2 linked regions of the Nothobranchius furzeri genome follow. The protein of the gene in region 2 purifies or fractionates together with the protein of the main gene of each other region. This does not show direct contact. Links are inferred from orthologs where the notes say so. Each region holds a gene or a part of one and is shown on either strand. Other genes may lie near its edges. The genes, in order: lztr1 and ptpn9a.

Region 1 (4,289 bases), on a different chromosome or scaffold from region 2:
ATGACCTGCAGCAACAAAAGAGATTCAGCCAAATAAAAAGAAGATATTTTTCTTATTACTTTGTAACAGTTTCATTTCTCCTTACTTTGCATCTACTTAACATTTTATTCATTTGACCAGTGCATTCAGCCTTTCCATAGACTATTCAGTATTTAAATAATGATTGTGTTCTTTCATTTAATGACTTCTTTCTGATTTCCCCCCAATAATCTTTATGTAAAATATTATGTGATCACATTTCTAAAGAAATTACTGAAATGTATTTTTGAATGTGTTTAAAACAATTCTATAAAACTCACTATCCCCCACCCCTCCATTACCGTGTAAACCGAGGCTCAAACAGGGTCTGGATTTATTGTTCATGAATGTTGGTGATTTTTCGTTCTTTGATGAAAAATGCCAGACTGAACGAGTTGACATTGACTGAGGTACGAGAATGTTCATGGAAGGATAGTGACAAAAGTACCCTTCTGACCCATTAAAGTATTTTTTCAGTTTTTGTGTTAGACATTAACTCTTATTTACAAGTAAAATGAAGTATGCAAAATAGATGACACTCGCTATGGATGCAGCTGAGGACATCAGGTGGGTACTATTATGATTATATGGATAAACAGTAGCAGGCATAATACCAGGAGTGTTAATGTTTATTAAGAACATCTGACTGGAAAAAGATCACAAATCAAAAATATACAGATTAATTACAAATCTTATGGATCTTTTAGATTTATGAGCCTCATATGGACTTATAAATGAAAAATCCACAAATTATTCAATCAGTTTGAAAAATTCAACTATTGGTTATTATGATGCAAAATATTGTCATCTTCAAAATTTTTTGAAATTTTAAAATGTATTTACTAATTTTGTATTTTTTCTTGACAAATATATACAACAAATGTGGCATCTATTTTAGTCATTTCTGAAATTATTCTTTTTATTATTATTTTGTCATTTCTGAAATTAACATACAGGAAGTGGAATCTTCACTGATGTTGTATCAGAAAAAGGCACTCCTGCCTTGTAAAGTTCCCCATCACCGGAAGCGCATTTCATTAGCCTTTTTTAACTACTGGGTTCAGTAAAAGTTTTTTAAGTCTTCAGAATCAGTGTTTTAATATAATGAAAGACACAACTTTATTTGGCTTGTTACAATGTGTATGGCGAGCTAGTTCTGCGGGGGTTGCTATTTTTCGGTAAAACACCGGTGCTACGGGGGCGTGGTTGACATCTGATCCTGATAACTGTCCTTTTATTTCAGTAGTCCTGATGTTGTACCTTCGTTAAGACATCATTAAATAAGTATTTCGAATCGAAAAAGTATTTAGTCGGTTAAACGGAACTTTTAGTGTAACTTTAGCCGCTACTAGCTAACCTTTCAGTTGTTTGTAGCATAGCGTGACGATAGCTAGCTAGCCGAGGCTAGCTCTGAGCATAGCTAGTAGCTAATTGTTAGTTGGGTCGCAGTTTCTACCTTTAACAAAGCGCAATTTATTCTTTCCACGCGTTTAATCTCGTTAGCAGAGAAATAAAACGCTCATTTGTACAGAGAAATGTCGCTAACAGAGGGCGTCCTTTCAGATGAGTGGCCCTGAGTTTGATCAGATGAGTTAGCGAAATGTCTTGTAAATCAACCAAAGTCGCCCCGAGTGTTGATTTTGATCACAGCTGCTCCGACAGCGTGGAATATTTGACGCTCAACTTTGGCCCGTTTGAGACTGTCCATCGTTGGAGAAGACTTCCTCCGTGTGATGAGTTTGTTGGTGCCAGGTATCAAACTGTCAGATCAGAGACATGAGAGGACATACTGCGTGTTGACCCCTGTTCATTCTGGGTGTTTTGCATCCTCACACAGGCGCAGCAAACACACAGTTGTGGCATACAGGGACGCCATATACGTGTTTGGAGGAGATAATGGGTGAGAATTTGTTGACAGGGATGGGTGTTTTATTTTTATTTTTTGCATACATAAATGTGTTCTAACTCTGTTGCACCCTACAGGAAGAACATGCTGAATGATTTGCTCCGCTTCGATGTGAAGGACTGCTCTTGGTGTCGGTAAGACTGCAGCAACCAAAAGAAACGCTTTAAATCAAGAATCTGACTTTAACACCAGTGGAAAACTGTGCCTTACAGAGCTTTCACCACTGGAACTCCACCTGCTCCCAGATATCACCACTCAGCTGTGGTCTATGGCAGCAGCATGTTTGTCTTTGGTAAAGTTGGCTGATTTTAGATCTGCAAAAACTGCAAAAACTTAGATTATTTTGAAATAAACGAGTATGGTGTCTGTATTTTATTTTCCAGGGGGCTACACCGGAGACATATATTCCAATTCAAACCTAAAAAATAAGAACGACCTGTTTGAGTATAAGTTTGCCACAGGACAATGGACTGAATGGAAAGTGGAAGGAAGGTAATATTCATTTATTTTTTGTGTATATGAAATTAGTTGGCACCAGTATCTGGGCTCATGTTAATTTTGAGAGTGAAATTGTCTAAAGTGTATTTTCTCTCCATGTAATCAAACAATTTTTTTTTTGCTAACTGTGAGGATAGAAGCTGATTTGTACAAGTCTTGTGGCTGTTTTAGCTTGCCGGTGGCCAGATCTGCACATGGAGCTACAGTCTACAACGACAAGCTGTGGATATTTGCTGGCTATGACGGGAATGCCAGGTGTGTGAGATAACATTCTGTTTTTACATCTACACATTCATCTCTGCGTTCCTAATAAGTTTATGTTCTGTGTACGTAGACTAAACGACATGTGGACCATCAGTCTGCAGGATCGTGATCATGCATGCTGGGAAGAGGCTAGTTAACTTCACCTACACATTTAAAATGGACAAAAACAAAAGATCCAGAAAGACTGAATCCATGTTTTTATATCTCTCTGTTTGGTTTTGTCACCGCCAGATTGTTCAAAGTGGTGAAATTCCTCCATCCTGCTGCAACTTCCCAGTAGCGGTGTGCAGGGATAAGATGTTTGTGTTTTCTGGTCAGAGTGGAGCCAAGATCACTAATAACCTCTTTCAGTTTGAATTCAAAGGCCACATGTGAGCATTGCCTTTCCTGATGAGTCAAACCATAAGTAGTGTGTGTGTTGGATAAAGTCACACAGGACTCCAACGTCTTCTCAGGTGGACGCGGATCCCAACGGAGCACTTGCTGCGGGGCTCTCCTCCACCTCCTCAGAGACGTTACGGACACACTATGGTCGCCTTTGACCGCCACCTGTACGTATTTGGAGGTGCTGCTGATAACACGCTACCCAATGAGCTGCACTGTTATGATGTGGACTCTCAGACCTGGGAGGTGATCCATCCCAGCTTTGACAGTGAAGTATGAACCAAAATGGTTTTCCTTATATTTTCTTTATCATTATTGTTCTGTTTATAGATACTTCATCGATTAGAGTATAGGAGATTCTTGATTTTGTCGCTAAAACCTTCAATAATTTCACTTGGGCTTGTAGTCCTATTTGATGCTCATTGCATGATGTTTCCATCCTGAAAACCAATTTGAACCCTACAGATGCCGAGCGGGAGGCTCTTCCACGCTGCGGCTGTGATCCAAGATGCCATGTACATCTTTGGAGGGACTGTGGATAACAATGTTCGCAGTGGGGAGATGTATAGATTCCAGGTGAGTGTTTACAAAGAAAGTAAATTTTCTTTAGACAACTTGGTCTAAAACTGATCACATTCAAATGTTTACATTGCAGTTCTCAAGCTACCCAAAGTGCACTCTCCACGAGGATTACGGTAAACTGTGGGAGAACCGTCAGTTCTGTGACGTGGAGTTCATTCTGGGCGAGGTGGGTCTTAATTGTTAAAAGAAAAAACGGAGGTTAAGCTTTGAAGTAGCTGATTAAAATCACATGGAAGGTAAACATGTTTTTTCTCATCTCCTGTTGTGTTGTTTACAGAGGGAGGAGAGAGTCTTGGGGCATATCGCCATAGTGACCGCGAGGTGCCAGTGGCTGCGGAGGAAAATCCTGCAGGCCCGGGATAGGCAGCGACAGGTCTGAGTCAGCACGCCTCATGTTTCCTGAGACTACAGGACTTAATCACAGTTTTAGCCCCACAAGTATTAATATGACTCAAGAAGGTACTTTTTACATTATGTAGAAATGAAGCCAAGTGGAAGCTGCAAATGAAATAATTGCAACATAAAAGGACAACTAGTTTTCTTTACAGGAACAAAATAAAGCTAGTTTTGAGCATCAAGGCTTGTGATATAAAATCGGCACAACCGTTTCAAATATCCACATAGAATGTTAGCAGGT
Region 2 (3,822 bases):
TCATCCGCCTACATCACAGATCACATGATCAGGAAGCAGACCATCCATGTGTTTGGAGATCGTTTTGGGCCGTTCCTGTAAAAAAAGTGAGGCGCGAAACGGAAAAGCGTCTGCCGATCACAATTCGACAACGGATTATGAAAGAACGGATAACGCTCAAAACACACGGCTTCTTCCTGATGTAAGAGGTGAGTCTCCTCTTTGTTTAGGTTGTTTTGGCATCGACATCATGCTAGCGCGCAACGTTCTGTGACTCTTAAAAAAACAGTAAAAACGGTGAGAAAGGCAGCGAAGGCCGTTAGCAATCAGGAAACGGCTGGCAGTGGATGAGTTAATTTATCCCAAAAGGGCTTTGAGGGAGGAAATATTGTTAATCATATCGAACAAATATCAGACCACCTGTCTGCGATTTCCTACTGGAACAAGGTTTAAGAAAACCCAGACAGCTACACCTCGAGCCCGGTTCACTGCCCTGCAGGATTTTATGTGTTTATTCATTTAGGAGAAGCTTTTATCCAAAGCGACTTACCATTTATAACCTATAGGGCATGCTGTGATGTTTTGGTTTATAATTTGATGAACACTGGAAGTGTCTATCCCCTACACACAGATAATGCAACATAAGTCATTTGAAGACATACATATAAGTGTGGCAGGGTTTTCCCCCACAAATCTTGCTAAGCCTTTTGGTAGAGCAGCCCACCATGCCCAAAATGTTTTCAGGAAGTTTTAAATCATGATTAATATGTGTTGTTATAAACCATTTATATACTTATTTATGTAAACTGACAATACTTGTCAATATGAGGATGTTAAAATTTGCAGTTTTGTATGCCTCCATTACATTGCAGAGATGCTACTGACTTTACACAGATATTGGATCTGCTTTTTATTATTATTATTTTTTACAATGTACTGTCCAGCTGTGAAGCTTTCAGAATTGATGTATGAATGCTGAAGACAAGCCTTACAGTTTTTCTCTCACAGGTGGAGCGTTATAGCTTCTGGTATGATGCCACACCTGATACCAAAACTTCATTAGAAATGTTTTCGGTGGTTTAAAATCACAGCGGACACGGAGACAGAAGTGAAAAAGAAAGGGGGAGAGAAAGGAAGTGGTCGTGGTGGTGGGGGGTTAAAAAATAAACCAATAAATAATGAACAAGTATGTATGTCTAGAACTGCAGAAAGAGAGAGAGGAGAGGACACAAAAATACAACAAAACCAAAATATCATTGCACCCACAACAGGAGGATATATAACAGTAACCATTTTCACTGAAAGGCACACGTTAAAAATTCTGTGCATTAAGTGCCAACCAAAGCCTTAGGTCAGGTGTTTAAAATGCCCAAGTCCATAAAAGTGAGAGCATCATGTGAGCATCTGTGTGCATACATGCGCTTGTGTAACATAACAATTTTGATATAAACTCAAGATATTCTTAACATACTCCATCTTGTAGAGGCATCCGCCATATTTAGGGTCAGCTAACCATTTAGGATTAAAGCAGCTGGTTTAATGTTCATAGTCATGGCTTAGGCCCACAGGTGGTTGCTCCAACGACGTGCCAACTCGCACTTGCTCTGCGTCATCATCAAGCCACCACTCGATCAGCTCAAGGGAGATGCACTTCCTGCGCCTATCGTCTCACCATTTAAATTTTAAATGTTAATTTGGTGCATTAAAATGATTTGAAATAAATAAGTGACACTTAGCCTGTAAAGCACTGGGGAAAACCCTGTGTAGAGTGATGTGTGTGTGTGTGTGTGTGAGTCAAAGTTTGACCCATTTTTCCATAAAAATTTTCTTTATCAAATCTCAATTTGTGTAGAAAATAACTTTTGCAGTTCTCAAACTTTTTATGTGTAAACCACTTTAGAAATTAAGCACCTGGGCTCTTCTCTCTCTACAAATAATTTTTTGGTTTAGCATTTTTTTTGGGTTGTGCTGTTATGAATCTGATGACACCCCCCACCACCACCCTGGCCTCTTTATATAAGTAACAGTATCAATAAATAATAGTCTGAATATAAAACGCGGAGTTTAGTAACCTGACCCAAAACCTTGCGTTGAAGCCACAGTGGCGTGCATGACTTACCAACACCGTGAACTTCCCACTCAGCAGTTCTGAGCGTAGCGGCTCCTCGTGAGGCTGAAGTCTGACAATTCCTTCTTTAAGACGTGTTTCCTGAAGAAAGCAAATTACAGCAGGTGAGGAGGGCGGGGGCTGGAAAATCTAATTCTTGTCTGAGAATAACAGATTTTCAGAGAACTTTACCCTCAACCTTACTTTAAGTTTTTAAGACCAACACATCTTGAATGAGTTCATGGCAGGCTTGGTAAGCCAGCGTCCTTCCTAGCCTTCGCCATATTCTCGCATTATCCCGTAGGATAACGTGTACGTTTTGCTTTGGGAGCCCCCATTTTTGGAACATGTCTGTGAAAGCTTTAGAGATGGCAGCCACCATGTGTGATCCAGGAAACTCTTGTGAGTGAAGCGCCACTCTCCTCAGCTCAAACGTCTGATCAATAAGCTGTGCAGTTAGACTCAGCATCGATATGGTACTCACACTAGAACTCCAAATGTCAGTCGCAAAGCCGACCGACACGATGTTGTCATCCTAGAAAAGGCTTTGGATTTGACTGTAAATACAGTGATATAGCTCCGACAGGCATTCGTCAGTGAAATATTTACGAGTAGGCAGCTTGTAGCTCAAAGCAGTTAATGAGGCGTTTAAACCCGATATCTTTGGCAAGCGGCTGACGGTCAAGGCATATTAATTCCATGACCTTATGACTTAGTTCTTTCTTTTTGTTGATGTTGCTGCTGCACGTTGCTTTTCTCTCTCTGCCTTAGCAGCAGCCAAAGTTGTAAACTCGGTGTACTCCTTGGTGTGAGAAACTTTCAAATGTCATATCAGGTTTGTTGTGTTGAAATTCTTTTGTAGCATTCCTGCTTCTCTGAGCTACTGGTTTTTACTCCCCTGCAGTCTCTGAGGTCGGCTGATAGGATGCTTCTGGAAGTCCCTGAAACAAGTCGTAAGCTCAGAGGTGACAGGGCTTTATCTGTAGCGGCCCCTAGGCTCTGGAATGAGCTGCCTTTGAGCATTGGGTCAGCCTCTTCACTGTCTGGTTTAAATCTCTTTTGAAAACCTATTTTTATGATTTGGCTTTTACTCAGCATGAGTCTTTTTTTAGTATTTTTAGTGTTAGTTCTTAAGCTTTAGTCTATGCATTTTTATGTTGTGTATTGTTTTTTAATGTTTTAATTTCTGTGAAGCACTTTGGTCAGTTTTATACTGTTGTAAGGTGCTATACAAATAAAGCTGCCTTGCCTCGGCGTATCTCCTTTGCGCACACGTTGAAAACTGCAAATTCGTTGTCCTTTTCGGACACATTGAAAAATTTACAAGGACCTCCACCTACACAAGAACTTGTTCAATGATTAATCTGGAGCAGTGTCACTTTAACATGATGCTAAATGAAAGCCACCATATTCTTTAGTTCTTTAATGTGGTTCTGGTTGTGGTTAGAGCCAGACGGTCTCCTCACCCTGTAGCTGTGGAACAACTCGATGGCACGGAGGACGTCAAACTTGCGAGCCATGAGGAACTTGACGGCCAAATCCCTGGAGAGCGGCGACACGCTGTGCTGACTGGTCCATTTGTTGATCTCCTCTAGAAACTGGCTGGTTGCCTGAAACAGACCAGATGTTACTCATAGATCTTCATCTGTGTGTTTGGTGCAAACATGCTAATGTTTGGCATGTTTGGGGCAGGACAAGAAGTCTGGGAATTCCCAGTTCTCAGGCATGCAAAACAA

What was found.
Region 1: the proteins of ptpn9a (region 2) and lztr1 purify together in Homo sapiens (affinity purification with mass spectrometry; 3 studies listed by BioGRID and IntAct, with this or other methods). This does not show direct contact. The link is inferred for Nothobranchius furzeri from reciprocal best matches to the Homo sapiens genes PTPN9 and LZTR1.

What each region holds. Positions count from the first base shown.
Region 1 is NC_091757.1:45,256,753-45,261,041, reverse strand, and holds the start of lztr1 (leucine-zipper-like transcriptional regulator 1), read left to right. Parts: upstream 1-1,394; 5' UTR 1,395-1,618; coding exon 1,619-1,770; intron 1,771-1,855; coding exon 1,856-1,918; intron 1,919-2,001; coding exon 2,002-2,058; intron 2,059-2,136; coding exon 2,137-2,216; intron 2,217-2,307; coding exon 2,308-2,416; intron 2,417-2,593; coding exon 2,594-2,677; intron 2,678-2,756; coding exon 2,757-2,814; intron 2,815-2,917; coding exon 2,918-3,057; intron 3,058-3,141; coding exon 3,142-3,343; intron 3,344-3,535; coding exon 3,536-3,646; intron 3,647-3,725; coding exon 3,726-3,818; intron 3,819-3,929; coding exon 3,930-4,025; intron 4,026-4,289. UniProt on the Homo sapiens protein: Substrate-specific adapter of a BCR (BTB-CUL3-RBX1) E3 ubiquitin-protein ligase complex that mediates ubiquitination of Ras (K-Ras/KRAS, N-Ras/NRAS and H-Ras/HRAS).
Region 2 is NC_091754.1:45,543,614-45,547,435, forward strand, and holds part of ptpn9a (tyrosine-protein phosphatase non-receptor type 9), read right to left. Parts: intron 3,697-3,822; coding exon 3,553-3,696; intron 2,189-3,552; coding exon 2,099-2,188; intron 1-2,098. UniProt on the Homo sapiens protein: Protein-tyrosine phosphatase that could participate in the transfer of hydrophobic ligands or in functions of the Golgi apparatus.